4 linked regions of the Rattus norvegicus genome follow. The protein of the gene in region 1 purifies or fractionates together with the protein of each later gene. This does not show direct contact. Links are inferred from orthologs where the notes say so. Each region holds a gene or a part of one and is shown in the gene's direction. Other genes may lie near its edges.

The links.
Region 2: the proteins of Pex19 (region 1) and Nat14 purify together in Homo sapiens (co-immunoprecipitation; 3 studies listed by BioGRID and IntAct, counting the BioPlex papers as one, with this or other methods). This does not show direct contact. The link is inferred for Rattus norvegicus from reciprocal best matches to the Homo sapiens genes PEX19 and NAT14.
Region 3: the proteins of Pex19 (region 1) and Pxmp2 purify together in Homo sapiens (affinity purification with mass spectrometry; 3 studies listed by BioGRID and IntAct, counting the BioPlex papers as one, with this or other methods). This does not show direct contact. The link is inferred for Rattus norvegicus from reciprocal best matches to the Homo sapiens genes PEX19 and PXMP2.
Region 4: the proteins of Pex19 (region 1) and Faf2 purify together in Homo sapiens (affinity purification with mass spectrometry; 4 studies listed by BioGRID and IntAct, counting the BioPlex papers as one, with this or other methods). This does not show direct contact. The link is inferred for Rattus norvegicus from reciprocal best matches to the Homo sapiens genes PEX19 and FAF2.

Annotation. Positions count from the first base shown.
Region 1 is NC_086031.1:87,126,451-87,133,668, forward strand, and holds part of Pex19 (peroxisomal biogenesis factor 19), read left to right. Parts: intron 1-81; coding exon 82-191; intron 192-595; coding exon 596-761; intron 762-1,327; coding exon 1,328-1,413; intron 1,414-2,047; coding exon 2,048-2,209; intron 2,210-5,252; coding exon 5,253-5,429; intron 5,430-6,132; coding exon 6,133-6,177; intron 6,178-6,319; coding exon of another isoform or gene 6,320-6,339; coding exon 6,340-6,423; 3' UTR 6,424-7,218. UniProt on the Homo sapiens protein: Necessary for early peroxisomal biogenesis. Acts both as a cytosolic chaperone and as an import receptor for peroxisomal membrane proteins (PMPs).
Region 2 is NC_086019.1:77,936,404-77,944,134, reverse strand, and holds Nat14 (probable N-acetyltransferase 14), read left to right. Parts: upstream 1-2,633; 5' UTR 2,634-2,932; coding exon of another isoform or gene 2,933-2,981; coding exon 2,982-3,053; intron 3,054-3,622; coding exon 3,623-4,171; 3' UTR 4,172-4,703; downstream 4,704-7,731. Other genes in the region: Zfp628 (zinc finger protein 628), read left to right, coding at 1-1,574; soluble scavenger receptor cysteine-rich domain-containing protein SSC5D precursor, read left to right, coding at 5,684-5,708, 6,213-6,239, 6,705-7,013, 7,273-7,386, 7,614-7,727. UniProt on the Homo sapiens protein: Probable acetyltransferase. May act as a transcription factor that regulates the expression of coproporphyrinogen oxidase by binding to a promoter regulatory element.
Region 3 is NC_086030.1:52,051,139-52,058,992, forward strand, and holds the start of Pxmp2 (peroxisomal membrane protein 2), read left to right. Parts: upstream 1-2,812; 5' UTR 2,813-2,842; coding exon 2,843-2,964; intron 2,965-4,955; coding exon 4,956-5,066; intron 5,067-7,148; coding exon 7,149-7,311; intron 7,312-7,854. Other genes in the region: Pole (DNA polymerase epsilon catalytic subunit A), read right to left, coding at 2,420-2,481. UniProt on the Homo sapiens protein: Seems to be involved in pore-forming activity and may contribute to the unspecific permeability of the peroxisomal membrane.
Region 4 is NC_086035.1:9,955,386-9,962,603, reverse strand, and holds part of Faf2 (FAS-associated factor 2), read left to right. Parts: intron 1-2,339; coding exon 2,340-2,511; intron 2,512-3,251; coding exon 3,252-3,395; intron 3,396-7,175; coding exon 7,176-7,218. UniProt on the Homo sapiens protein: Plays an important role in endoplasmic reticulum-associated degradation (ERAD) that mediates ubiquitin-dependent degradation of misfolded endoplasmic reticulum proteins.

The DNA of each region.
Region 1 (7,218 bases):
TCCTAGTAGTTTGCTTCAAATCACACAGCTCTCTAGCCTTATCCATCCCCAACATACCCACCATGTCTCTTGTCTCCGAAGGTGCTCTTGATGATTTTGATAAAGCCAAACCCTCCCCAGCACCCTCTCCTACCATCTCGGCCCCCGATGCTTCAGGGCCCCAGAAGAGATCGCCAGGAGACACTGCCAAAGTATAAATTCTATCCCCTTAAGGGAGGGGGAGGATGGGTATGCAGTTCAGAGCAGGGGTGGGGCAGGCCCCTGTGGGCCAGAGGGGTGGCTGGGAGGGTACCTTTGCCTCATACTGCTGAGTGTACTTCCAGGCCTCAGTTCCTATGAAACAGGGATAACGAGGAAGTGCCTCGAGTAAAGAGCAGTTTTAAGTGGTTGGATTTGTGTGCTGCCTCAGATTATTCCTTCAATGGCCAAAGTCTTTGCTTGCTGTCCTCCTGAAAAGAGGCAGATGGAATGTTCAGTGGAGGTGCTTGTGGGGGAAGATGTTTCATTTCCCAAAACCTACAATCTGAGCTCCTGTAAGAGGCTAGACCCAGGGTGATGCTGTAGGAGGCAAATTTTGTAAACCTCTCCCCTGCAGGATGCTCTCTTTGCCTCCCAAGAGAAATTTTTCCAGGAACTGTTCGACAGTGAGCTGGCTTCCCAAGCCACCGCAGAGTTTGAGAAGGCAATGAAGGAGCTGGCTGAGGAAGAGCCCCATCTGGTGGAGCAGTTCCAGAAGCTCTCAGAGGCAGCTGGGAGAGTGGGTGAGGAAGCCCCAAACACAAAATGCTGGACAGACCTCTTAATCGCTTAAGAATAGCAGGATTGTAAAGTTGATAACAGTCACGATGTCACAGTCACAGAGTGGGGCAAGGCAAGAGGAAGAGACATGGGAAGCTTGCTTACTAAAAGAAAAGGGTAAGATGTTTTGGGAAGCAATAAAAAAAGGTTATTCCAGTCAGGCGTAGTGGCGTATTCATTCAATCCCAGCACTTGAGAAGCAGAGGGAGGTGAATCTTGTGAGTTTGAGGCCACCATGATCGACATGGTGCATTTTAGAACAGCTAGAACTGCAGAGTGAGACGCTACCTCAAAAATAAATATGATTCTCCCAAACCAACCCTTGTAAAGGAGTGTTACTGTAGCGAACAACCAACACGTTATCAATATAGACTTACGGCATGACCGTGAGGTAAGTACAGAACAGTGGAGATTTGGAAGAGGTAGTAGTTTCCTAGGAAATGCTTTATATCCAGACTGGTAACTAGGCAGTGTAGACAAGCTGACAGTTAAAATCCTAGGTAATCCTCGTTCTTTCCATCTCTCCTAGGCAGCGATGCAAGTTCTCAACAAGAATTTACTTCTTGCCTAAAGGAGACATTAAGTGGGCTAGCCAAAAATGCCACTGACCTTCAGGTAAAGGGAAAGGAATAAGATGTTTCCTGAGCATTCTCTCAAAATAGATGCTCTTGAGGTGGGCGGTGCTGGAGCGATGGCTCAGTGGTTAGGAGCACAGGCTGTTCTTCCACAAGATTGGGGTTCAATTCCCAGCACACACATGCCAGCTCACACTTACCTATAACTACAGTTCCAAGGCTTCTGACACCTTCACAGAGATGTACATGCAGTCGGAAAAAAAAAAAAAAACATAAATAAGATTAAACTTAAAAAAAAAAGTCTAAGGGTTGGGGATTTAGCTCAGTGGTAGAGCGCTTGCCTAGCAAGCACAAGGCCCTGGGTTCGGTCCCCAGCTCCGAAGAAAAGAAAAGAAAGAAAGAAAAAAAAAGTCTACTTCTTTTTTTTTTTTGGTTCTTTTTTTCGGAGCTGGGGACCGAACCCGGGGCCTTGCGCTTCCTAGGCAAGCGCTCTGCCACTGAGCCAAATCCCCAACCCCAAAAAGTCTACTTCTAAAAGCTCTGGCATATCTCCCCAAATCTGGCCCCCTTTGATTTTTGTTACAGGCAAATTTCGATAGTTGTTTCCACCTGAAAGTGTGGTAAGCATTTCAGGAAGGCAGTGTGCCTGTTCACCTCTCTTTTGTCTTGTCTAGAACGCAGGCATGTCTGAAGAAGAACTGACAAAAGCCATGGAAGGGCTGGGCATGGATGAAGGAGACGGGGAAGGGAACATTCTCCCCATCATGCAGAGCCTCATGCAGAACCTCTTGTCTAAGGATGTATTGTATCCATCCCTGAAGGAGATCACCGAAAAGGTCTGTGAATTCCCATTTCTGTCTTTTCTCCTCACTTCAATATATCAATAGTCTGGGCCACTTGGCTCAGACTATGCATAGTAAAGGCAATTTGAGTGGGCAAGTACAATTTTTAAAAACACTCTCGCAGTTGTTACTGAGAGAATTAAGCTACATTGGTGATCTGATCATCTATCCACACTGGGAATGTCTCAGCTAAAAGGGGAAATTTCCAACTCTAGTTTTCTATAAATGAGTTCAAGACTTTGAGTTTGACTGATTTATTCATTCTTATATTCTTTACTAATTCCGCCAGTAAGGACTCACATGATTTAGTGGTGGTGTTGGAAAGTGTTTAAGCGATGATGGTTCATGCTTGAAAGAGCTTATAGTTTGACCAGAGAAATGAAGTAGAGAAATACAAGCTCTACAGCATCACAGGCAACCTGTGGCCGAAGAGCAAGAGCAGGAGCTGCGGACCAGTGTTTGTACAGGCTCAGTCTGACTGACTCTCAGTGTTTGTACAGGCTCAGTCTGACAGTCTGACTCTCAGTGTTTGTACAGCCTCAGTCTGACAGTCTGACTCTCAGTGTTTGTACAGGCTCAGTCTGACTGACTCTCAGTGTTTGTACAGGCTCAGTCTGACTGACTCTCAGTGTTTGTACAGGCTCAGTCTGACTGACTCTCAGTGTTTGTACAGGCTCAGTCTGACTGACTCTCAGTGTTTGTACAGGCTCAGTCTGACTGACTCTCAGTGTTTGTACAGGCTCAGTCTGACAGTCTGACTCTCAGTGTTTGTACAGGCTCAGTCTGACTGACTCTCAGTGTTTGTACAGGCTCAGTCTGACAGTCTGACTCTCAGTGTTTGTACAGGCTCAGTCTGACTGAATCTCAGTGTTTGTACAGGCTCAGTCTGACTGACTCTCAGTGTTTGTACAGCCTCAGTCTGACTGACTCTCAGCGTTTGTACAGGCTCAGTCTGACTGACTCTCAGTGTTTGTACAGCCTCAGTCTGACAGTCTGACTCTCAGTGTTTGTACAGCCTCAGTCTGACAGTCTGACTCTCAGTGTTTGTACAGGCTCAGTCTGACTGACTCTCAGTGTTTGTACAGGCTCAGTCTGACTGACTCTCAGTGTTTGTACAGGCTCAGTCTGACTGACTCTCAGTGTTTGTACAGGCTCAGTCTGACTGACTCTCAGTGTTTGTACAGGCTCAGTCTGACTGACTCTCAGTGTTTGTACAGGCTCAGTCTGACAGTCTGACTCTCAGTGTTTGTGCAGGCTCAGTCTGACAGTCTGACTCTCAGTGTTTGTACAGGCTCAGTCTGACTGACTCTCAGTGTTTGTACAGGCTCAGTCTGACAGTCTGACTCTCAGTGTTTGTACAGCCTCAGTCTGACTGACTCTCAGTGTTTGTACAGGCTCAGTCTGACTGACTCTCAGTGTTTGTACAGGCTCAGTCTGACTGACTCTCAGCGTTTGTACAGGCTCAGTCTGACTGATTCTCAGCGTTTGTACAGCCTCAGTCTGACTGACTCTCAGTGTTTGTACAGGCTCAGTCTGACTGACTCTCAGTGTTTGTACAGGCTCAGTCTGACTGACTTTCAGTGTTTGTACAGCCTCAGTCTGACTGACTCTCAGTGTTTGTACAGCCTCAGTCTGACTCTCAAGTTGAGAGTATTTTTTACACTGTTTTTAAAAGATTTATTTTTATTACAGTTTTTAAATTAGGGGTGTGTGTGTGTACACATGAGTTCAGGTGCCTACTGGAGGCCACAGCCATCAAACCACCTTTGAGTTGGAGTTACAGCTGGCACTGAACCACCTGATAAGGGTGTTGTCGGGAATGAAACGTGAAGTAATTCGGGTCTTCTGCAAAAGTAGTGTGTACTCTTAACCACTCAAGCCGTCTCCAGCCCTGGTTTTTATATTTTTTTTTTCTTTTTTTTTCGGAGCTGGGGACCGAACCCAGGGCCTTGCGCTTGCTAGGCAAGCGCTCTACTACTGAGCTAAATCCCCAACCCCTGGTTTTTATATTTTTAAGTTTAAAAACAACAGGGCTAGGGAGAGATGGAACACTGGCTGCTCTTCCAGAGGACCTGGTTCAATTCCAAGTACCCACATGGCAGTCACAGAGGTCCATGGCCGGCTCCAGTTCCAGAGGATTCGATGCCCTCTTCCATCTTCTGAGAGACCAGACACACACGAGGCACACAGATATAAATACATGCAAATATTCATACAAATGAGATAAGAGTTTTTTAAAATTACAATTAATGACAACAACAGAGGGGTTTGTTAAAGAGCACTTGCTGTTGGTCGCCTGGATTCCGTTCCCAGGCCCAACGAGGTAGCTTATAACCATCCATAACTCTAGTTCTAGGGTGTCTGACACCTCTCTTTCCAAGTACACCAGCTATGCACATGGTACAAATATATACATGCAGGCAAAACACTAATGAATACAAAATAAACGTAAATAAATCTTAATGCAACAATAGCCCAACAGTGTTAACTAAGACCATATGTGACCCTTGTCCTAGTTAGCTGCAGCTGTCAGCTTTACACAGCCCAGAGTCATCTGAGGGAACCTCAGTTGGGGGATTGCCCAGATTAGATTGGACTATGGCCATGTGTGTGAGGAATTACCTTGATTGATGGTTGGTATGGGAGGGCATAGCCCACCGTGGGTGGCATCAACCCTAGGCAGGTAGGCCTAAACTATATAAGACGGCTAAAAGCCAACCAAGTAAGCCAGTATGCAGTATTCCTCTATGGTGACTGAGGTTTCTGCCCTTGGTGATGGACTGTTACCTGAAAGTGTCAAATGAAATAAACCCTTTCCCCTCCCAAGTTATTTTTGATGTTTTATCACAGCAATAAGAATGAAACTAAACAACCCTTAGAGGCTAAATCTTGCTTTTCACAAGCATAGTTTACTAATCTGCAGTTACCATGTATACCAGTGTGTCCAGATGATCTGCTGGAGTCAACAGTACTTTGTGCTTTTCATGATGAACTTGCTTGCTGCATCCCTTCCCATCCCTCTCCTCTCTTTCTTTAGTATCCAGAATGGCTACAGAGTCACCAGGAGTCTATTCCCCCAGAGCAGTTTGAGAAGTATCAGCAGCAGCACAGTGTCATGGGCAAAATCTGCGAGCAGTTCGAGGCAGAGACGCCCACAGACAGCGAGGCTACTCACAGGGCTCGCTTTGAGGCGGTACTCGATCTTATGCAGCAGGTAAGGCCTCCTTACACTGCCTCCCACCCTTAACAACCTCCACTCCCGGATTCACCACTAACAGGAGATAAGAGAGAAACAAGAACAGAGGGAAAGAAGTCCCTGAATCTAATTTCTCTTGTGTCCTCTTTGACCACGGCTGCTAACAAACTACAGCCAACCTCCCTAAACAACCAACAGCCCTGCCCTCTTCGCCCCTCTTGGGGCCTTGAGTTTATGTAGCCTCAAAAAAGTTCCTGGAATTCCAAACCTCACACAATCACAGAAACTATCTGCAGCTGGCAAAGCCATGCCTCCGCCAGAGCATGCAGCAAATCGTGGTCAGCTGCTGCTGTCAGTCTGAAGCAGCCCCATATCTCCATACCTGGGATTAAAATGAAAGCACACTCTTAAAATATTTCTGTGTTTTTGTTTTTTTTTTTTCTTTTTTTTTTCTTTTCTTTTTTTTTTTTTCGGAGCTGAGGACTGAACCCAGGGCCTTGCTAGGCAAGCGCTCTACCACTGAGCTAAATCCCCAACCCTTTCTGTGGTTTTTTTAAAGCAACGAAATTCCAGAATTCTCAAAAATGTCACTACAATGACTGCATACCATGATCAGAAAAAAAAATCAGATGACTAATCCAATTCTTTTTGTTGCTTTTGTGTTTTCTGTGATTTTCAAATTTTTTTTTTTTTTTACTCTTATATTCTTTTTATTTTCTAGTTACAGGACTTGGGCCACCCTCCGAAAGAGCTGGCTGGGGAGATGGTGAGTATGTCTTGTATATTTTAACCCAGTTCCCAGTTTGCAGAAGCCAGTAATCCTTAGGTAATCCATATAAGGTGATCATTGTGGCTGCTAAGGACGGACCTTCAGAAGCTCTGACCTGAAATATGAGTGATTTTCTCAGCCCCTTTGTCTCTTCTCCAGCCTCCTGGCCTCAACTTTGACCTGGATGCCCTCAATCTATCGGGCCCACCAGGTGCTAATGGCGAACAGTGTCTGATCATGTGAAACACAACACGGTTTCCTCCCTGAGTCCCAGCCATGGGGAACATCTGGAATCAACAGAGTCACTGGGAACTGAGGCAGGAGTATCATCTGTGGGAGCTGCTGCCCCACACTCTCTACATCCCATTCAAGACTGTGCCATACCAGCTGAGGACCTGTTGTAGGCCTTTTCTATGAGCCCTACTCCATTATGGTGTCTGCTGTTAGAAACGGGCCAATTATTTGCTAGGTGAAGGAAGGCATCCCTTGTGGGGCATTTTACTTCTTCCCACTCTCCAAAATAATGTTACATGTGGTGGTACTCATGTTCCCCTTGATTCCCAGGGACTTTGTGCCTTGTTTCTACTCCCTCCCTTGTGTCTGGGAGCAAGAGCTAAGTCCTAAGACTGCGCTTCTCTTAGGCAGGGCCTCTGGGAATGAGGAGAAAAGTAGCCTGGGTGGGGCTGGAGGCTTGTCACAGTATCTGCTAGCCTTCTTTTGGAATTCTCCGAAGGGAAAGGAATTTTGCACTTAGTCAGCAGGTTGAAAGCAAAGCCTTGGGCATTTCCTGTCCTTAGGTGCTGCGCCCTAATTCCCCTTTCCTCCTGAGAGCTCAAGTTGATACCCTGGTTCTTTCTACAACTCCATGATTTAGGGGACCCCCCGCTCTTGACTTTGCTTTGCCCCATGACTATCCTTACCTCCTCTCTTTAGAGTCTTATTTATTCTGCTCTTTTTAACTAGGGCTGTGATGGATGGAGGCTAATCTTGTTTCCTTTCATCTAGTACCTGGACCATTCTCACTAGACCCTTCTCTGC
Region 2 (7,731 bases), on another chromosome or scaffold:
CCCACTACCAGTACCATCTGCGACTTCATTCTGGTGAGCGGCCCTATGCCTGCACTGAGTGTGGCAAAGCCTTCCGTAACACTTCGTGCCTGCGGCGCCACCGGCACGTGCACACTGGCGAGCGGCCCCACTCGTGTAGCGTGTGTGGCAAGAGCTTCGCACAGACCTCCAACTTGCGGCAGCACCAACGTGTGCACACGGGCGAGCGACCCTTCCGTTGCCCGCTCTGCCCCAAGACCTTCACACACTCCTCCAACCTGCTGCTGCACCAGCGAACTCATTCTGCGGAGCGCCCTTTTGCCTGCCCCATTTGTGGCCGAGGCTTTGTCATGGCCGCCTACCTGCAGCGGCATCTGAGGACGCACACCCCAGCCACTACAACTTCGGGGACCACTGGCCCTGCTGTAGCATCGCAGCCCCCTACCCCATTGGCTGCAGCTCCAACTCCACTGGCCGCTCAAGATGTTCATGTTCTCCCTAACCTACAGGCCATACTTTCACTCGAAGTAGCTGGGGGCACAGCTCAGGCTACACCCCCAGGCCCAGTTGCCCCCAGTTCACAGACATTTCTCCTGGTACAGACTGCCCAGGGCCTCCAGCTGATTCCTAGCAGTGTCCAGCCCCCTACCCCACCACCACCGCCTCCACCCCCTAAACTCATTCTGCTGCCTCCTGCCAGTGCTGGAGGTATGGGCAATGGTGCTGCAAGGCCAGGCCCTCGGGCTGTTGGGAAAGCTGGACAGGGGACAGGGGTAGTGTGGTTTCCCGGCCCAGGTGGTCTAGGGGTGCAAGGAGGAGGCAATGCTGGGACTAGCGGGGGCGGGCAGAGCCTCATTGTTCTACAGAATGTAGGGAGTGGGGAGACAGGACCACAGGAAGTGAGTGGGGTTCAGCTTCAGCCAGCACAGGAAGTGGCCACGGTCCAACTACAGCCTGCACAGGAAGTGACCACAGTCCAGCTACAACCAGCACAGGAGGTGACTACAGTCCAGCTCCAGCCCCTGACAGGACAAGTCTCCAATTCTAGTGGAGGAGCTGTGGCTACCGAGGCTCCAAACCTGCTGGTGGTTCAGAGTGGGGCAGCTGAAGAGTTGCTGACCAGCTCTGGACCTGGGGAAGTGGGAGACAGTGAGGCCAGCGCTGGTATGGTTCAGGATGTCCTGTTTGAGACATTGCAGACAGATGAGGGGCTGCAGAGTGTGCTGGTGCTGAGTGGAGCGGATGGGGAACAGACTAGGCTCTGTGTGCAGGAGGTGGAAACGCTTTCGCCTGGACTGACCGAGCCAGCTGCCACTGACCCATCAGGACAGAAACTCCTTATTTTTCGTAGCGCCCCAGCTGCTGACCTTCTAGAAAGTAGCAGCGTTGCAGGAGGTACCACAACGCTGCAACTCCTGGCCCCACCAGCACCTGGCCCGGTCTCTGCCCCTGTGGGGGTGCCTGTAGCTCCCCCATCCCAGATGGTACAAGTGGTCCCCGCAGTGACTGGACCAGGGGTCATGCCTCCCCAGAACTTGCCCTCCATCCAGATAGTGCAGACTCTGCCTGCAGTCCAGTTGGTACACACGTTTTGAAGAGACCCAGTAGCAGCTCTGTCACAAACCCTCTTCCCCCGCAATTAACTGTTCTCCTCAGCTGGGCTGGGGTCAGCCCCAGAGTCAAGGGGGCTGCTGGCTGGACTTGCTAATAAAGACCCAGAATCTCCTCTTGGTTTTGTTTTCATGGGGAAGGGGATAGTCATAAATATAGCTTCTGCCTCAGGCCTGAAAGTCTTCGTTCGTTTTTGCTTCTTGGCTCTGAGAGTACTTGCTTTGTAGTTGGAAGGCAAAATGCTTCTCTGGGGTGGGGCCCAACACCCCCATTCTTTAAACTGTTAAGACTTTACTGTGGTGGTGGTGGTGGTGGGGTACACTTGTGGAGGTCAGAGAGAATACTTAGTGGGAGTCAGCCGTGTGGGTTTCTGTTTGGCAAGCTCTCTTATTTCCTGAGCTATTTCTCTGGTCCTTTCCTGTCCTTTGTATATGTTCGTGTGCAACTACACTTACTATAGTAAGGTGGGTCAGGGGTCAAATTCTGGATTCTCCACTTCTTTCCTATAAACCACCCTGACCTTTACCTCACCTGAAAGGTAGGTAGAGGGATATTATTTATCCAAACGATACCCCAGGTACCACACGGGTCGAGAAAAAGGTCCCTGAGGATGGGGATGCTCATTGCTGCCCCCATCCCTTCCCGCAAAGACCCAAGCGCCAATGAGATTAGGTTCACAAGCAACGCCTCCTCTTCCTGATGCTCAGGTCGCTTAGCAACGAAGAACCAGCAAGAAAGGAGCTGTGCTAGTCCTCCCAGGCAGGCCGGGTAAGGAACCCTCTCTCTGTTCCACGCTCCCATCCCCCTTTCTCCATGGTTTTCCCACTGGCCTCCAGCAGGTCACAGCTCTTCCCTCGTCCTCGCAGTTCCATTACTCCCAACCCCTGCCCCATAGTGGGGAAAGCTTGGCAACAGTTGCTAAGGCGCTGGTCCCGCCTCCAGTCGGGAGCGTAGACGTCACGTCCGGCGATGACCACCCCCCCCCGGCGCCCCCGACTCCGTTCCCCCCGTTACTGTCAAGGGATTCGAGCAGCCCCGTGGAGGTGCCTGCTGGGCCCTATTCCTGCCATGCGGGGTGGGACCACTTCAGGAGACTGGCTGCTAGAGTATGGGGAGAGGTTGAGTTTAAGACAGATCGCTGAATGCCTTCCCTGGAGTGGGGGACGATTTGGGAAGATTTTTAAGGAGCCCCATTAGGTATGGAGGCACCTGGCCTGCGACTATGACTGTCCTCTTTGACGATGCGCCAGCATCCTTGGTGATCTGGGAAATGCTGCAGCCCGTTCCTCCCAGGGCTTTTAGGACTCAGGTGCCCACCTAACACCAACCTACTTGTTTTCAGCAGGTGTACAACGCCAGCTCCCTCCTTGGGGGGCGGCCTGGGGGCTACCATGGCCCCCAACCACCTGTCAGTGCGGGAAATGAGGGAAGATGAGAAGCCCCTGGTGCTGGAGATGCTGAAGGTGAGAGGCCGGCAGGGGCACCAGTGAGCATGCGCAGCTACTTAGGGACGCTCAAAGTGGGTTCCACTAGCCCCGCCCACCTGCCTGACCTCCCGGGAACCTACAAAAGGGGGAGGGGGCCGTACCAGCCTCAGCAGTTTTAATTGGTCTCTTTTCTCTAGTGCTTTCATCCTACTTACATCTCAGCTGCCATTTTTTAAAAAGCAGTTAGTTGTAAGGGTGTAGAGGCTGAATATTCTGGTCTCCTGATCTTCATTCAGTTCCACTTACCAGCCCCAAAATGAGGGGTGATCTCTCTCTCTCTCACACACTCACCCCAGACCCTCCAGCGAAGAGCCCATGTCTTCGCTTTGCCTATCTTGTTCAGTCTTCTTTGGTGCTTTACCCTAGAATGCCATCCGGACTCATTGGCCCCAGGCCCTATTCATTCTTTTCGTTCAGGCAGACTGCATTCACTCAGTCCTTCACACCCAATGGGCCAGACTACTACCCTATCAGCAGGCTTCTCTACTCACTCGGGAATCCTTCCTCAGGAGTTCCAATGACTGAGCCCTTACCCCCACCCACAGGCTGGTGTAAAAGACACGGAAAACCGTGTGGCCCTTCACGCTCTGACACGTCCTCCAGCCCTTCTCCTCCTGGCTGCAGCCAGCAGTGGACTGCGCTTCATCCTGGCCTCCTTCGCCCTGGCCCTCCTGCTGCCCGTGTTTCTGGCTGTAGCGGCTGTGAAGCTGGGTCTGCGAGTTCGATGGGGCTCTCTGCCTCCACCAGGCGGGCTGGGGGGTCCCTGGGTGGCTGTCCGGGGATCCGGCGATGTGTGTGGAGTCCTGGCTCTGGCCCCTGGTGCCAACTTGGGGGACGGAGCCCGAGTTACCCGCCTCTCTGTCTCTCGATGGCACCGTCGCAGGGGCGTGGGCAGGAGGCTGCTGGCCTTTGCTGAGGCCCGAGCCCGAGCATGGTCTGGGAGTGTGGGGGAGCCTCGGGCCCGGCTCGTGGTCCCAGTGGCTGTGGCCGCTTGGGGTGTGTCAGGGTTATTGGAGGCCTGTGGCTACCAGGCAGAGGGAGGCTGGGGCTGCATGGGCTATATGCTGGTTAGGGAATTCAGCAAAGACCTGTGATTGGAGACTATGCCCATTGGGTAGATGGGCAGAGAACCAGCACCTAAAGAACACCTACTGTGTGCCGTGCACTTTACATCCCCTCCCGCAGTGTCCACCTAGTCTGCTGGGCTGATAGTGAGGCACCAAGGTTGATGGACTTACATGCTCACAGTGGACCTGCCAGATGCAATGGGGACTCTAAACTCAAATAGAACAAATTCCTTCTTGGTCTTCTGGGACCACTAGAAGTCGCCCTGTTCACTTCTCCCCCCCCCCAACCCCCAGCCCCAGTCTGTATGCACTGAAAAAACTTGTGGTTCTGGGTCTACAAAGCCCCTGTTGCGTGTATTTGAGGTCTGGAAGGGATATCTGGGGGGGGGGGAGAGAGAGAGAGAGAGAGAGAGAGAGAGAGAGACTGAGACTCTCAGAGTTAGAGTCTGACAGGGAACTCCCAAAGGGGACAGATCTTCTGGGAGTGGGTGGGACTGGGAGCATAGTGTCTCCAAGACCATCTGGTTTTTTACACTGTTTGTTAATAAATCCTGAAACTTCTGTGTGCCTGTCTCCTCTCTGATGCATTTTCCAGCTGCTCTCTCCAGACTCCCTCCTTCTGTCTGGCTCCTCCTCTCCAAAGTTGACATTAATTGCTAGAGAAGTTGGGGGGGGGGAGGCGCGTGCACTGTGCTGGGAAAAGGAGAAGCAGTGAGCTCACAGCGGCAGCCCAGTCTCTGCCAGGCCTTCTGAGTCATGCTCCCCATTACCAAAGTTTTTCCCTTTACAGCTGCCTGCTGTGTGTGTGTGTGTGTGTGTGTGTGTGTGTGTGTGTGTGTGTGTGTACACCCCCTCCAAACCGAGGCCTTGACCCCCTTGGTCTCTCTACCCTCCATACCTTTGTTCTAGGAACTGGTAAGTTGTAAGTTCAGACACTCCTTCCTCAAATAGGCACTGGGAGGTTCCCATCCAGATTTGCCACAGTGGGTGTCAAATGGAGAGAGAGGTTTTTCAGTTTCTCTTCTAGATCTAGGAAGTCCCTCCTAGTGTCTGGCTGCAGGCCCTCTTGCTACTGCAGGATTCCCCCAAATCTGTCCACTCCCGTTTACACTTACTTGCCTGGCTGGACAATAAGAGGAGGCAAAAGGGTGTGCCCTCAGCCCTGTCCCCCAGACACCCAGGCCTGCCCCTTCCCAGAACTGCCATCCCCAGAAGCATCTCTAAGCGCGTGGCCCTCTGGAGCTTGGCTGGCCGCCTCCCTCCAGTGTGGGTGTTTGCACTTGAACACCTCCCTTCTGCCTGCCCACCGCCCCCCCTCCTCCAGGCTCAGCTGTGGCCAGCCCCCTCCCCCTCCTGTCCCCTGCTGCATCCCTGCAGCCTCTCTCCCTCCTGGCAAAGCCTTCAGCCCAGCCTGCTCCTAGCTGTCCAGGGCGCCTCAGCAGCGGCTTCCCTCCCTCCTATCCTCCCTGGCTGCCTCCGCCTCCCCTCTCCTGCCCTCTTTCCCCTTTCACCCCATCCCCTGCCCTGGACTCTGCAAACATGAGGGTCTTGGCGTGTCTTCTTGGTGAGTGATCCATTCCCGTGGGGGGTGGGGCACCTTAGGGGCCTGGACCCTCACCTCTGACACTTTAGCTTCTCCAGTTCAGGGACTCATACTATAGGGAGCCTGTTCTGGTCCCTGGTGCTGTGTGATAGCCTGACATCTGGTCGGCCCCTCTAATCCCTCAGGGACCCAGCCTTCTGCTAGTCCTGCCTAGCAACTCAAGTGACCTGCCCTTTGTTGCCCCTGCATGCACTCTGTGGAGCTATCACTCCCACCATTCAATATGGTCCCCAGCCCTGTCTTCAAGGGTCAGGCATCCGGGGCCCCACCCACCCCAGGGACCTGTAACTTATCCCAGCCTCCACCCAAAGTCCATTCCAGCAATGGGGCTTCTGACTCAGAGGTATGAGGAATCTGTATGTGAATGATGCTTCCCACTGAACTGAAGCTGGAAGCCTGCACTGGGGAAAGGACCCCTCCCCTCTGATTTACCCTTCACTCTGTCCCTTCCAATCTCCTTTGCAGCAATGCTGGTGGGGATCCAGGCTATAGGTAAGTGTCCTGATTCTGCACTTGGCCTCACCCAGCTCTAAGCCTCCCCTCTCTCCTGCTGGTCCCTGCTGCCCAGATTCCACTCAGCTCCCCTGACAGTGCAGGCCATGGGTCCCCATCCAGCAGGGACACTGAGTCTTCTCTAGAGTTAGCTGCACGCTGACCTATGGGAGAGAAGCAAAGTTATGAGGACAGTGATGGGGGAGGAGTAGAAGGGCCATTTGACCCCTGGCAGAAGGACTTTGGATGCCCGAATTCCCTGGTTCAGTGTCCTTCCACACAGCCCCCAGCATCTCTGAGATACTCCTCTTATTTGCACCCAGGAGTCTGGGACCAGGGCCCAGCCTCCAGGGTAGCTGGATTCCTGATGGTAGCTTGTAACACACACCCCCCACCGCCACCCTTGGTGTCACCGTGCCTACAGTACTCCTGTCTGGAGTTACAGTTTTTTTCTTCACCCCTCAGAGCGACTCCGCCTGGCTGATGGCCCTCATGGCTGTGCAGGACGCCTGGAGGTCTGGTACAGCGGGCGCTGGGGCACCGTGTGTGATGACGGATGGGACCTTCGGGATGCTGCAGTGGCCTGCCGTGTGTTGGGCTGCGGAGGGGCGCTAGCCGCCCCCGGGGGTGCCTTCTTTGGGGAGGGCACTGGGCCCGTGTGGCTCAGTGAGCTGGCCTGTCGGGGCAGTGAGGGACAGCTGGGTATCTGTCCCCACCGGGGCTGGAAGGCTCATATCTGCTCTCACGAGGAGGACGCGGGCGTCGTCTGTGTAGGTAAAAAGATTCAAACTCCTCTTATGGTTCTGGCCCCAGGAACCCCCAAGCCCTTAGTTCCCACAGATCTGAGCTGTCTGGAAGCTGAGAGATAACCAATTCCAGATCTCATAAGGCCAGGTGCCCACCCCCAAAGACTGCCAGCTTATTTCTGAGCCCCAGGGAATTCAGGCATCCAAGGTCCTTCTGCCCCAGGGGTCAAATGGCCCTTCTACTCCTCCCCCATCACTGTCCTCATAACTTTGCTTCTCTCCCATAGGTCAGCGTGCAGCTAACTCTAGAGAAGACTCAGTGTCCCTGCTGGATGGGGACCCATGGCTGGCACTGTCTGGGGAGCTGAGCCCCAGCTCAGAGGAGCCCCCTATAACTCATGGTGAGCACAAAGGACTAGGCTTCCCATCCTGCACCCTGGTTGGACTCATCTATGGGGAAGGTCGTCACGCAGACGTTTTCCCAGCAAGCTGGTTTCCTTTGTTACCTAGAAATCCTCTGTCCAGAAATCTTTCAAACCCTCAGAAAAGAATCCCTAGACAGATGAAAGAAGTCAGGAAGGGTGGCCAGCTCAGATCCTGAGTTCCTGGTCACATGTCACTTTCCTAGCTCCCCAGCCGGCAGCAAGCTCCCAGAATGGCCCCCGAAAGAAGAACCCCCGGCCACCCAAGCAGGTCAAGTCCACCCGAGCCCCTGTACTGACAAATGGAGCTCCCCGCCAAGGTAA
Region 3 (7,854 bases), on another chromosome or scaffold:
CTGTTTTTAACTTTGCTAGAGAAAAAGAGCTTTAGTCTGTATCCAGATCTTTTACAAAACCAGGGCTGAATGAAGTGCGACTTCTGAGGTATTACTATTTTTGGAGCACAAAACTCCCTGGCCTTTAAATATCATTCCAGTGAGTAAGTTGGTAAAGTAGACTAGAAAACTATTTACCCAGACATCATCTCCTCCTAACATGGGTTGCTCTAAGCTGTCTACCTTACTTTTTATTCAGCCATAGTGTAAAAATCTAAATAAATGATGAAAGTACCAGACACCTGCTTACGTATTACCTCAGACAGTGTCAAATCGCTCTGAGCATGCATTCTCAGTTCATTTTCATGACAACACCCATGAAGAGGACCACCCATTTCCTCATTCAGTGAATACGGAAGCAGTCTTACCTAAAGCTCACTCTCTACCTCTACCTGCAGCTTCAAGGACACACACTGACCTCATGGGACTCTTTCAACAATTAAGTGAGCTAATCCACACAAAACACACAGGGAATAAGCATACGCTAAACGCTATTACTTGTCCTCAGATCTAAGAGCACACAGGCAGTACAAATTGGGTTATTTTAAAAAGAACAAGGTCTCAAAGTTGGAGAAGGGTGTATCTGGGAAGAATTCAGAGGAGTAGGGTATGTGTGTGATTATTAACCAAATTCTTTTTTTTTTTCTTCTTTTTTTCGGAGCTGGGGACCGAACCCAGGGCCCTGCACTCGGCTCGCTAAACAAGCGTTCTACCGCTGAGCTAAATCCCCAACCCCTTAACCAAATTCTTAAAAACAAATAAAAGCCTTCCAAAAGCTATTGTTTATTTATTTACTGCAACAACAGCTTTCATCTGCTCAAGTACGTGGCAAAATTGGATGACTAAGGGCATGTCCTTAGCTGATGATATGTCTTAGTGGTAGAGTATGAGAGGTTCTTTATTCCACTTCTAGCTACATATACATATGTAATACAGAAAGTATGTATTATATATCCAATATACCGTGCCACAATAATATGTAGTAATACAATGCATAAAATCTAATATATAACACATTATATATATATACACACACACACACACACACAAGTCATGAGTGTAGATAAAATACTTCCCATCCACCTCTCACCTCTAAACTGAAGTCTAGCATGAACGTAACAGTACAAGTACTGCCCACCTCGTGGCTTTTCATGGCATTATGGACATGAAGACAGCACAGTAACTATCATCACTGTTGGAGGGTTAGACTGAGGCTCCAATGTATGAAACAGAACACAGCTCCTTTTCTAAATCAGGAATGAGCTTGGTGGGGCAGGTAATAGCCTGAGACCTGGGCCTTGAGGGAGCTGTGGATCCAGGTCCTGAGAAATCAAGTCTTCCGGAACATCCTAAGGGACTATGGGTCACAGTCCCAAGGCTGCTATGTGCTCTGTTTATGACACTGTGTGCGCCCCCCCCACCCCCAACTTCTATGTAAGACATTGTACTTTTGGGCTTGAAGAAATGGCTCAGTGGTTAAGACCTTGCAGTGGACCCAGGTTTGATGCCCAGCACTTACACAGTGGCTCACAATCATCTGTAATTAAAAGTACCGGGAGATCTGATGCCTTTTTCAGGCCTCCACGGGCACCAGGCACATAGGTGATACTGAGTCTTCACATACTAATACTCATGCACACTAAAAAGAGATGCTCTACTACCTAAAAAACTTGCTTGTGGGAGCCATCAGCCTGTGTGACACCTCCTGATCCTAAACGTTCTTATCTTCAGGATCACATCCCCCTGGCCGTCACTCTCAGGAACCTGTCATTGAAGAACTACTTACTGATCCAGGTCAATTACCACTGCTGTTATGCAGCTGTTGTACAACAAACCCAGGGCTTCACATATCATCGAAAAACACTGTCACTACTCAGCTCTGAACAGGTTTCCCACTCAGGGCTCGCACTCTGACACATAGTCTTATGGCTCACCCAACTGTTTCTGCCACTAGGCAGTGTCACCAATCTCAGTATACGCTATTCACATCTCGTTTGTTGCCATACTCTAGTATCTCTTGCCGATGCATAAAAGGCTTGCGGCTTTTGGTGCCCACGAGTAACTGATGCTTCTTTAATCTCAATAAACTGTTTTACTTCGCCGAGACGGACAAGACAGAGTCTTTCGTTGGTTTTCCTGTTACCTCCTCGTTTGATGAGAACAGACACACAACAGGCACAAATATTTCTAGAGAAGCAGCCTGAGCCACGGAGTGAGTTAGCATCTCAATAAAACTACAGAAGCACACGGGAAGACTGGAGCCCGCCCTGTCCACCGCGTCGCGCGCCGGGCCCGCCGCTCCCCCGGACACGGCGCCCGCCCAGGTTTGCTCCGGCCGCGGCTGCCGCCAGCGCCTTCGCAGTAGGACACCGGCTCTCACCGGCTGCCTTCGCTGTCCGCGCCCGGCTCGGGATGCCTCCGTCCACTGTTCCTCAGCACCATCGCAGGGTTCCTGAGCTCCCTCCAGCTCCCGGGAAAATTTGGCGCGCTCTCATGTGCTCTCGCGAGACTACAGCTCCGGCCAATGAGAAGGCGCGGCCTCAGACGGACGTGTCCGGGGCCCGCCCCGCCGCGCCCCTCGGCTCTCCAATCGTCCGCCGAGCGGGGAGGCTGGGTCGCAGGGACTGAGGGAAAAGAGTGTGCAGGCTGGCTGCGCGGGTGGCGGGACGGCTGGGTCCGCTGAGGGCCGAGGCAGAGCAGGAAATGTCAGGCCGTCCCCGCCCTGTGCCCCAGGTCCCGGGCCGGGCGCCCGGCCGCCAAGCTGTTGGGTGGGCGCCCGGGACGACTCAGAGCCGGGATCGCGATGGCACCTGCCGCGTCAAGGCTGAGGGTGGAATCCGAGCTCGGGTCGCTTCCCAAGCGAGCGCTCGCCCAATACTTGCTGTTTCTAAAGTTCTATCCGGTGGTCACCAAAGCTGTCAGCAGGTGGGCGCACACTGGGAAGAGAAGTGGAAAGGAGGGCTGTCAACAGGGGAGACGCTCGTGCAGGGGAGGGTGAGAGAGAGGGGGCCGGCCGACAAAGCAGCTCCAATCCTGGGGGTGGAGCAGCAGTTCTCAGCCTTGAAGGTTGGACGGCCTTTCCACAAGGGTCTCAGATCAGATCTCCTGTATAGAAGGTATTTACGTTAAGTTTCGTAACAGCAGCAGCGCTACAGTTTAGAAGTAGCAATGGAAGCAGTCTTATGGTTGGGGGTCACTACACCACGAACATAGGAAGGTTGAGAACCACTGCTATGGAGGAATGTGGGTACCAAAGGCAGAGTTCTGCATTAAGGTGCGCCCTGTTCTGCTTAGCCACTAAATGCCAGTTTGTGTATTGGGTCCCAAGCGCTAACCTTTGCAGTCTGAATGTTGTGAAGACCCGCGAGTCAGGGACACATTCCAACCCTGAGCCACCAAATGCACTGTTGCTGGTGAACTCTGCCCTTTGATCTACATCTTTCGATTTCCTAACGAGATATCACCCTGTTTCTGTTAATTTTTATTAGTGAATTTTCTAGGTTTGTTCTCTACTAACTTAACCTTTCACAAGTGTGTACAGAGTGTTTCCTGTGTTCTGGGCACATAGCTGTGATCAAAACAGGCTCATATGCTTTTTCTGTCTTGGAGCCGAGAAGGAACTAGACCACGCTCCCACCCCCACACCCACCCCAGCAAAAGGCAGATAAATGTATAACTTAGAGCAGTTAGGGAAATTTCTCCTGTGTTGTTGACATTGATCAGAAGCACAGAGAAGAGAAGCAGTTGTTCACAGGGCACAGTAAGTGCAAAAGTTCTGAGAGAAGAATACAGGGCATGTTGGAAGGGTGAAGAGAAGGACTCAGGGGAGAAAATGTAAATGGAAGGAAGAAGTAACTAGGGGTCAAGTCAAAAGGGTCCTTATGATCCACACTAAAAGTTTTGGATTTTATAGTTTTTAGAAGACAGCTTGGGGTTGGGGATTTAGCTCAGTGGTAGAGCGCTTGCCTAGCAAGCACAAGGCCCTGGGTTCGGTCCCCAGCTCCGGAAAAAAAGAAAAGAAAAAAAAAAAAAAGAAGACAGCTTATAGACCTGTGGTGGTTAATGCTAATTGTCAACTTGATGAGGGGATTATCTTGATTAACTTAATTGACCTGGGAAGATCACTAGGAATGGCCCCATTCCTGGTTGGTGTCCTTGACTGTAAGTGGAAAAAGTGTGCTAGCTTTTTTTTTTTTTTTTTTTTTTAATCACACCAACATAAAAGAAACTAAGACAAGACCCATCCTTTTAAAGAAGCAACTGGTCCTGTCTTCTTATTGAGAATTTCACTTCAGGAGTGTAAATTTACATACTACTATTATAGAAGTGTTTTGTTGTTGGCTTTTTTGTTGTTGTTGCTTTCTTTTTGTTTTCAAAGAGAGAAAGAGAGAAGAAAAGAAAAAAATCCCTGGTGAATTCTGCCCCATTTCAAATGTTTATTTAAAGGGGTTGGGGATTTAGCTCAGTGGTAGAGCGCTTGCCTAGCAAGTGCAAGGCCCTGGGTTCGGTCCCCAGCTCCGAAAAAAAAAAACCAAAAAAACCCCCAAATGTTTATTTAAAAAAACTACAGCATAACATAGAGTTTCCAGCTTGAATACAGCCCACAGACCATGGTCAACTACAGAAATGTCCTCAGGAGGATCCCCCCATTGCCTTTTATACCCATGCCTTCCGTGGAGCAGCTGTAGGGATGTTGGAAGGCACGCAGTCCAGCAGGTGGAAGTCTCATTGTGCTCATCTGTGGTTTGGCTTTAGGTCTTAGAGTCTCCGTCTTTATCTAAGCAAGTTACTTCAACAAGGACTCCAGTATCCCATGATCTACACAGCAGGATCTTACAGCAGCCCTGCTATGGCCATGCAGGAGAGGCAGGCCCTTGTGTCTGTTGCTCATTTTCTGATTGCCTCTTCCTCTACAGTGGCATTTTGTCAGCCCTTGGAAACCTTCTGGCCCAGATGATTGAGAAGAAGCAGAAAAAAGACTCTCGAAGTCTAGAAGTCAGTGGGCTTCTCAGATATTTAGTTTATGGGTAAGTACCACAGAGAGCTGCCTCATCTCTGCAGACTGAGCACAGCAGAGCTGCCTGTCAGCATTAAGCCTTTGGGATACTTTGTTTTAAAAACCTAGTTCTGGGGCTGGAGAGATGGCTCAGCTAGGAGCGCTAACTGCTCTTATAGCCAACCCAGGTTTGATTCCCAGCTCCCATGTAGCAGTTCACAAACATCTGTAACCTCCAGTTCCAGGAGATCTGATGACCTCTTCTGACCTCATAAGGCACCAGACACATACTTGGTGCACGAATATACCTGTAATGTAAATATCCATGCACAAGAAATAGAAAACAAAAATTAAAATTAAAAAAGAAAAAGGAAAAAAAAATAATTCTTTAAGCAGCATCAGAGAGCAGGTATGTATGGTGGTGTATATCTTTAATTCCAGCATTCAGGAGGCAGAGGCAGGTGAATCTCTGTGAGTTTGAGGCTAGTCTGTTCTACATAGTAAGGCCGTGTCTCAAACAAAACAACAAAAAAGAAATATCAGAGGCCGGATATGATGACAGAGACTTTTAGCTTAGCCCTTTGCAGGCAGAGGCAGAGACAGTAGTATTGCCACAAGTTTCTGGCCGGCTTGTGCTATGTACAGAGATCTGCCTTTAAAACAAAATCCTCCTTGAGTTCTTTGACCACCACTAATGAACTGGCTGGATGATTTGAAGTCTTTCCAATAGGAGTGATTTTTAAAAAAAAAGAAAGAAAGAGAAGAAAAAAAAGAAAGAAAGCTGGATGGTGATGGAACTCACGTTTAATCCCAGCACTTGGAGGGTGGAAGCAGGCCAATCTCTGAGTTTGAGACCAGACAGGTCTACAGAGGGAGTTCTGGGACAGCCAGAACTACACAGGTAAACCCTGTGTCCAAAACAAAGAAGCAAACTTTGTGTGGGTGTGTGGTGTTAGATTTAAACCTGTGGCTTCATATACGTTGTCACTGATCTCACCTATCTTCATCATTTAGTTGGGTGTGCTAGTATTAGTACTTGGGAAGCCAACCTCGTCTAAATGGTGAGTTTCAGGTCAGCTACACCTGTATTAAGCCAAAATAAATAAGTAAATAAGTAAGTAAATAAATAATCAGAAAGACCCCCCCCAATGTGTGTAAATAAAAGAGACTGAACTCTCTCATATATCCTGTGAACTCTGATGATCCCCTTGCCTCCTGCGTGCTAGGATTATAGATGTGCGCTGCCTTATCTGTTTTTTGGTTTTTGTTTGTTGTTTTGCAGTGCTGGGAATCAAACCCAGGGTTTTTTATTTGTTTATTTGTTTTGCATACTTGGGATTTACTCTACCAACTGAGATTTTTGATACCCACAAAAAGCTCCCAAGAATAATAATTCCACACCATTTATTAAAATGTTTATGAAGCAACACCCCCCCCCCCATACTTTAACAAGTAACCTTTACCCCTCTCACATGGTCTTGGCCTCCCAAAGACTTTAGTGGCCCACAGTGATGCAAGAAAGTCCAGCTGAAAGCCTTGTTAACAGATTTCGGTTGTTGGAATTGACGGTTCCTGCCCTTCCCTGTATTACTGTGCTTTGTGAAACTCAGTTTAGCTGGACTTGGCTCATTCCCAGGTGAGCCAAGTGTGGACTAGAAATCCGCACTTTAGAGAAGGCAGAGGGTAGTACCAGGTTTTCTCTTGCCAGTTTCCACCAAAAGTTTGAAAATCTCTGGGAGCTGACCTATGTCTATTTGTTTCTCAGAGCCTGTTAAGGCATGAGGGCACAGACAAGGACAGACAGCATAATTGCCTGGAACACAGAGGAGTCAGATGGGCATAGACCTCAGCCAGGGCCATCATTGTGGCTGTCCCAGCTCACCAAATGGAAGAACTGGCAGAAGTAACTTCAGTCTTTGTGGGCAAAAAGACTGCCTGAAACTGGCTGAAAGGAAGTTTGTTTTTTTTTTTTTCCTAGAATGTCTTTATAAATTTGCATGGCCAATAAGTACTTTAGGAAGAAAAGAGGACTTAGGATCTGAGGTGAATCTTGGGACCAGAGACAGAACTGTAGAAAGAACCACAGTGCAGCTCACACCCCTGTGGCGTCCAGGTTGTTTGTCACAGGTCCCCTGAGTCACTACCTCTACCTCTTCATGGAGTACTGGGTCCCTCCTGAGGTTCCCTGGGCCAGAGTCAAGAGGCTCCTGCTGGATCGCCTGTTCTTTGCCCCAACCTTTCTGCTGCTGTTCTTCTTCGTCATGAACTTGCTGGAGGTGGGTGTTTGTCTTGGCATCTGCTGTGTCTCCAGTTAAAGATGGATAGGTAGCCTGCTTCCTGGGGTGGGCCCCAGGCTCTGAACTCTCAGCTTTCTCTTTTCTTCCCTTCTCTTTCCTTTCCCCTCCTTCCCTCCCTCCCTTCTTCCCTTCCCTTCCTTCCTTTTTTTCTCTTTTTACAATTTTTTTTGAGAATCTTGTGCATGCCTCTAATGTGTCCACCCCCATCCTCACTCTACTTTTCCTTCCTCACTTTCATGTGTTCTCTTCTTAAAACCTGCTGAGTTCACTTAGTGCTGCATGTATGTGTTGGGTATAGGTCTCTCAGGAGTTGCATACCTAAAAAAAAAAAAAAACCTCTTTCTTTCTGAGAAGCTATTAATTTACAGTAGCTCCTCAGCTGGGGGAGGACTTTATGAACCTCTTCCTATCCATACTGGGGTTTCCTGGCGTGGTCTTGCTTGGGTCTTATGCACAGAGTCAAAGCTTCTATGAGTTGTTGTGTACAATAATGCTGTCAAGTTCAGCAAACGGTGTTCCCTG
Region 4 (7,218 bases), on another chromosome or scaffold:
AGATGGCTCAGTATCTAAGATTCAAAGGACCTCAGTTCAGCTCCCAGCACTAAAGATGGGCAGTTCCAGTAATTCCAGTTCTGGGAGATTCCACTCTGTGTATATATTCTCTGTCTCTCTCTCTGTCTCTCTGTCTCTGTCTCTCTCTCTCTCTCTCTCTCTCTCTCTCTGTCTCTGTCTCTCTCTCTCTCTCTCTCTCCCCCTCCCTCCCTTCCTCCCCCCCCCACACACACACAGAGTTTTAAAAAGAATAATAAATTTTTTTTTTTTTAAGATTGAGGGCCAGAGGGCTGGAGAGATGGCTCAGCAGTTAAGAGCACCCGACTGCTCTTCCAGAGGTCATGAGTTCAATTCCCAGCAACCACATGGTGGCTCACAACCATCTGTAAAGAAATCCGATGCCCTCTTCTGGTGTGTGTGAAGACAGCTACAGTGTACTTATATATAATAAATGAATAAATCTTTAAAAAAAAAAAAAAGATTGAGGGCCAGAGGGGTTGGGGATTTAGTTCAGTGGTAGAGCGCTTGCCTAGGAAGCGCAAGGCCCTGGGTTCGGTCCCCAGCTCCGAAAAAAAGGAACCAAAAAAAAAAAAAAAAAAAAAAAAGATTGAGGGCCAGCAAGACTACACTTCTTTCAAGCCTGAGTCCTCAGGACCCACATGGTGGAAGGAGAAAACTGACTCCCACAGGGTGTCCTCTGACCTGCACGTGTGTGCTGTGGCATGTGGCATGCCGGCTCCTTCCTCAGCATCATGTACAAATAAGCACATGAAGAAGGGCGCATGCCAAAGCCTCTAGGTGACCAGAGTGTGGAGAAGAGATATGCCAAGTGCTTGGCTCAGCTGTGGTCCTTCCTCAAGGCTCAGGGATGTCGGGGGTGGGAGTGGGGGGCAGGACAAGAGGAAAGGCAGAGGTGGAGAGATGAAATCGCTCCTAAGTTTCTGTAAATAACTCCCAACTTCCCTCTGTCAAGAAACCATGCTCAATGGCCACATTGAGAAGGGCAGGGTCAGGAGGATTTGCTGAGAAGGTTCCGGTGCAAAGGGAGGGGATGAGAGAGGATTGGAGTTGAAAATGACTAAAGTTCACTATCTAAACGCAAGAGATTGTCAGAGAGTTAAGTGCAGAGCCATGAGATAGCTCAGTGGGTAGCGCTGGCTACAAAGCTGCACCCAAATTTTGATCCCAAATGCCAATGAGTTTGCTTTGCTCTGCTCTAGGAAATGCCTTCATGGGTGGCATTTCTACCCTGCTCCCAAATCTCCAGGAGAAGAAAAAATAAACAGGGAATGCACTTGAGTTCCTAACACTGGGAGGGAAAGGGATCAGAAATTGAGGGCTATCCTTGAATACATAGTAAGTTTCGAGACTATCTCGAGGTATATAAAACCTGTGTCCTAGTCAGGGTTTCTGTTGGTGGGATAAGACACCAGGACCAAAGCAAGCTGGGGAGGAAAGGGTTTATTTTGCTTATAGTTCTGTATCAGCTCATCATCCAGGGCAGTCAAAACAGGAACTCAAAACTGGACAGGAACCTGAAGGCGGAGCTGATGAAAGAGGCCATGGAGGAGTGCTGCCTACCAGCTTGCTCAGCCTGCTTTCTTACAGAACCAAGACCAATACCAGGCCAGGGTGGCTCCACCCACAATTACCTGGGCCCGCCCACATCAGTTACTAATTAACAGACTTGCTCGCAGCTTGACCTTATGGAGGCGTTTTCTGATTGGGGTCCTCCTGTCAGAAGACTCTACCTTGTGTCAATTGACAGAAAAACTAGTCAGGACAGTCCTGAGAGACGTCAGGACATGAACTAAACGAAGGAGAGGCCGTTTGCTGCTAACTGGGTGTTCCTCATGCCTCGCTCATCCTGTTTTCTAATGCCATCCCAGACCACCTGCCTAGGGGGTGGCACTGCCCACAGTAGACTGGGTCCTCCCACATGAATCACTAAGAAAGTGCCGCATAGGCTTCCCCATAGCCCTGGGAGTCTCTCACTTGTGGTTCTCTCTTCTCAGGTGTGTCCACTTGTGTCAAATTCACAGTAGCAACAAGCAGGACACTTGTCTCCTTAAGAAATAGATTATTTAATAAGGTAGAAGCCAGGAGCTGGGCATGGTGGACTTTTCTCTAATCTCGGTACTTGAAAGACTGAAGCAGGAGGATCTCAAGCTTGGGACTGGCCTGCAAGACAAGGGAGGTCAGGAAATGCTCTTGCCTGCTGTGCTGTGCACACGGCCTGCCCTTGGTTCTATCCTAGAGATGAGTGAGCAGGAGGAGGACCACCGGCCAGGAAAACAAGTTTGTAAAGTTAGTGTTGAACGCTTCTCCTCCATCTGCAGGGAAGAAAGGAACCAAACCCAGGTGCTGAGACAACAGCAGGATGAAGCCTACCTGGCTTCTCTCAGGGCAGACCAGGAGAAAGAGAGGAAGAAAAGGGAGGAGAGAGAGCGGAAGCGCCGGAAGGAGGAGGAGGTGCAGCAGCAGAAGCTGGCGGAGGAGCGAAGGCGGCAGGTGAGCCACACCTCTGTTCCCTGCCTTTCGATTTGCTGCTTGCTTCTGGCCAGGACACACCCTTTCCCCAGGACCCAGTGCCTGTCCCTGTCAGCAGTGCGTGTGGTACAGTAGGCCTGGTCCTTGTTTCTTACCAAGAGGGTTTTTTTTTTCTTTTTTCTTTTTTTTTTTCTTTTTTCTTTTTTTTCTTTTTTTTTTCGGAGCTGGGGACCGAACCCAGGGCCTTGCGCTTCCTAGGCAAGCGCTCTACCACTGAACTAAATCCCCAACCCCAAGAGGGGGTTTTTTGAGGGGTTGCTTTTAAAGTTTTGTCCAGCTGGATGTAGTGGTACAGGCCTTTAATCTTACCACTCAAAAGGCAGAGGCAGGATTGAGGCCAGTTTATCAGTTTGAGGGCAGCCTGATCTACATACCAAGTTTTAGGCCAGCCGGGGCTATATGATGAGACCCTGTCTCACTCGACCAGGGAATAAGGGAGCGTTTATTTATCCGTTCTGTGTATGCGATGTGAGAACACAGTACACACATGCCAGAGGCTTCTGTGACGGTCTCCCTCCCCCCTTTCCATGATTTCTGGGATGGAGCTCAGTCTGTGTCAGGCTTGTACCTTCAGGGCCCACACCCCATTACCTGCTGAGCTGTGCTCCTGGCCCCTCAGTGATTGTTCGTCAGTTTTCAGTGAACATTCGTGACCTTTACACCCCTGTTCGGCCACATCCTCACCTTTGCTCTGTCTCTAGAACTTACAGGAGGAGAAGGAGAGGAAGCTGGAGTGCCTGCCCCCTGAGCCCTCCCCAGATGACCCTGACAGTGTCAAGATCATTTTCAAGTTACCCAATGATTCCAGAGTAGAGCGACGATTCCATTTTTCACAGTCTCTAACAGTAAGGATCACCTAAGCCACATGGTGTTATAGATTGGGACTGTAGATGTGGAGGGTGGAGGGCAGAGGACAGACCAGGGGAGGCTGGTTGGTCTCCTTCCTTTGTCTGGGTCCCCGGGATGGAACCTTCAGGCTTGACAGAGGGACCTGTGCATGCTGAGCCCTGGTGAAGGGCTTCTGCTCCCCTTCTAACCGTGTTCTGAACTACAAAGTGTGCAGTTAGCACAAAAGGTAAGACACAGAGACCTAGCACAGAATGGAAAGGAGGCGTGGCCATGGGAATGAAGCAGTGAGAGCAGCACTCACACCTGCTTTGGGGGTTTTGATTTCCAGTGCTTAGAATGGAAGTCAGGGTCTCCCATTAAGCTGTCTCTCCAGCCCTGGGTTTTTAAATGTATTTTTCTTTTTCCTTTTTAAGATTATTGTATTTTATGTGTATATGTTTTGTCTGCATGTACATCTGCACACCAGAGGAGGGCATTAGAGTCCATGAGAGTTACAGGAGACTGCTGTCATAGATGTTTATGAACTACCAGCTGGGTGCTGGAAATTGAACTCAAGACCTTAGGAAGAGCAGCCAGTTTTTCTAATCACTGAGCCATCTCTCTAGCCCTGGAGTTGCCTCCCAGAGTTCCTGCTATGTAGTACGCAGTCAGCAGATGTTGTTCTCCTTGTTTCCTATCTACAGGTGCATGTAGATCTTTGAGGGGGCAGGAGGGGGTTCGAGATGGGTTTCTCTATGTAGCCCTGCTGTCCTGTAACTTGCTCTGCAAACCAGGCTGGCCTTGAACTCAGAGATCACCTGTCCCTGCCTCTTGAGCTGGAACTAAAGGTGTGTGTCAGCATACCCCACTTTGTATGTGTATCTTAACTTACAGATTCACTCCTCAGTTTCTCTGTGGAGTTCCCTGAAGTTTCTACTCCTATCCATACTCAGAGGAACAGTTTCTATGTGTGAAACCTAGCAAGGTGCCTTAGGCTTCTCATTTGTTTTAAAGTGTGTGTGTGTGTGTGTGTGTGTGTGTGTGTGTGTGTGTGTGTGTGTACACGTGTTTGCATGTGTTGCATTTGGAAATCAGAGGTCAACCTCAGATGTCTTTCTCAGGATGCATTCCCTATTTCCTGTGACAATCTCTCCTGGGACCTGGGCTTGCTCTCAGGTCCTAGGATCTCCTATCCTCCCTCCCCAGCACGTCGTCATTATATTTCACGTGTCTCGTGAGTGTTTTGTCTGCCCGTACATATGTATGTGCTCTGCATGTATGCCTCAAGCCTGAGGAGGCCAGAGCTGTTGGATCCCCTAGAACTGGAGTCACAGAAGGTTGTAATCTGCCATGTGGGTTATTCAGCTGGGCACCAAAAACGGAACCCACATTTTCTGCAAGAGCAGCGAGTGCTCTCAACTTCTAAACTGTCTCTCAAGCCTCTCTTTCTTTTTTTAAAGACCTATTTATTTTTATTTTATGTATATGAGGGTTTTGCCTGCATGTATGTCTGTATACTATGTGCTTGTAGTGCCCGCAGGCACTAGAAGAGGGCGTTGGAGCCCCTAGAACAGGGCTTACAAACAGTTGTGAGCTGCCATGTGGGTGCTGAGAACAGTCCAGGTCCTCAGGAAGAGCAGCCAGTGCTCTTAGCACTGGGCCATTGCTCTAGCCCTGTCCACTTTATTTACTTGTAAAGATTTACTCTGTGTGTGTGTGTGTGTGTGTGTGTGTGTGTGTGTGTGTGTGTGTGTGTGTGTGCGCGCGCGCGCATGCGTGTTGCTGACAGTTGTGAATTACCCAGCAGTGCTGAAAGCTGAATTTTGGTCCTCTAAGAGAGCAGCAAGGGCTGTTTTACTGCTAAGCCATCTCTGTGGCCTTATGAATAAAATCTTACATAGTTTTAGTTTAGTTGGAAAAGGGGCTTGGAGAGAAGAATGACATCCAAGGAGTCACAGTTAAATCCCATGCTGGCCTGGAATTAACCATTCATTGATAGTAACATGACCAAATAATTTAGTATTCTTGAAAACCTGGTGCCACCTGCCCTCACATATAATCTTAGGAGTGACACATCTGCGTTAATGGCCAGCCCTGATGGCTGTAGTACAGACCACTGAGTGTAGCAGGCTTCCTTCCACCTCAGCAGAGAGGGAACGACATGACTGACGACAGGGTAGACTCTGAGTTCTAGGACAGCCAGAGCTACAGAAACCCTGTCTCAAAAAAAAAAAACAAACCTTAAAAATAAACAGCCATCTTGAACAGCTCTCCTTGGAAATGGCTGTTTCTGAGACTGGACCAGGAGAAAGAAAAAACATTAGGCTACAAAATGACTTGTCAGAAAGCAAGGCATTGTTCCTAGAGGGATGGGGACATGTGCACAAGACATGAAAGCCAGCCATCCAAACTCAACTCTAAGTTTGAACAGGAACATAGCTGCTGACACTGCATAGCCTATTGGCTAAACAGGAAGTGTGGGACCTCCATTAATAAAAAAAAAGTGGTGGGGCTGGAGAGATGGCTCAACATTTAAGAGCACCTACTGCTCTTCCAGAGGTCCTGAGTTCAAATCCCAGCAACCATATGGTGGCTCACAGTCATCTGTATGTAATGAGATCTGATGCCCTCTTCTGGTGTCTGAAGACAGTGTCAGTGTACTCATATACATAAATAAATACATCTTTTTTTAAAAAATAAAAATTAAAAAACAAGTTTAAAAGACTGAAGAACCTTGTTGTTTCAGAGTACATCCCTACATACACCCCCAGTTAGAGAAAACCTGGTCCCACCTGAACTGTCATCGGTGTGTACCATAATTAAATGTGCACAGTACTTTCAGTTCACTGGTGTGAGTACTTTAAACCATTTTAAGGACAGGAGAATGCATGAGTTATAGCTGAATGCCTGAGGAACTTGGCTTGGAGGAGGATCCTGAAACCTCCATGGTATGGAAGGATAGCATATTAAACTTTGTAGTATATCAGTTAAATGCTCTGATTTTGAGGTTATTTAAAGTCTTCTGAGATAATGGGATACCAGGTTGGCAGACAGCTTAAAATGAACTCAAAGGGGATAAATATTCTGAACACTGCCTTCCAGCTTTTCCGAAACCATGCCTATTTCTAGTAAGTATTGTTTGCTTGGGTGGTTGTAATTGCCCCATGCTGCTGCATGCCTTTGATCTCAGCATAGGGGGAGGCAAAAGAGGCGGTGGATCTCTGAGCTACATTGTGAGACCCTTAAATAAGTAAAGAAAAATTTTAAATTGTTTAGCTTTACCTAAGGTCAGATTCTTGGGTGGCAGGGCTGGGGTGGGGGGAGTCAAAAGACTAGCTTGTGTGAATTCTTTTTTTTCTAAGACATGCTGTCTGGAACTCACTATGTAGACTAGGCTGGCCTTGAACTCACATTATTCTGCCTCCAAAAGTGTTGGGCTCGTGCAGTCTTCTGTCTCCTTTACATGGTATAAGGCACTCACAGTGAACTGACAGCACTGAGCACAAGTAATTATGGTGCTCACTAGTACGTCGTTCAGGTTTCCCACTGTAGGGTTCTCTAACTCGGGGTGTTTGTAGGGACGTACTCTGGAGCTATGAGGGTATGAGGTTCCTCAGTCTCTTAAACTGTTTTTCTAAAGGCATGGGCTGCCACACTCCGGTGAACTCTTTAAAAGAAGGTAGAATTCCATTAGAATAGGACTACTGTCTGCTTGGGTCTTCCTGGGGAAGGTTAGGACATGGGACTTCACAGTGAGTCTCTCCTTACCACGTTCTTTTTCTGTGTGGCATCTACAGGTCATCCACGACTTCTTATTCTCCTTGAAGGAAAGCCCTGAAA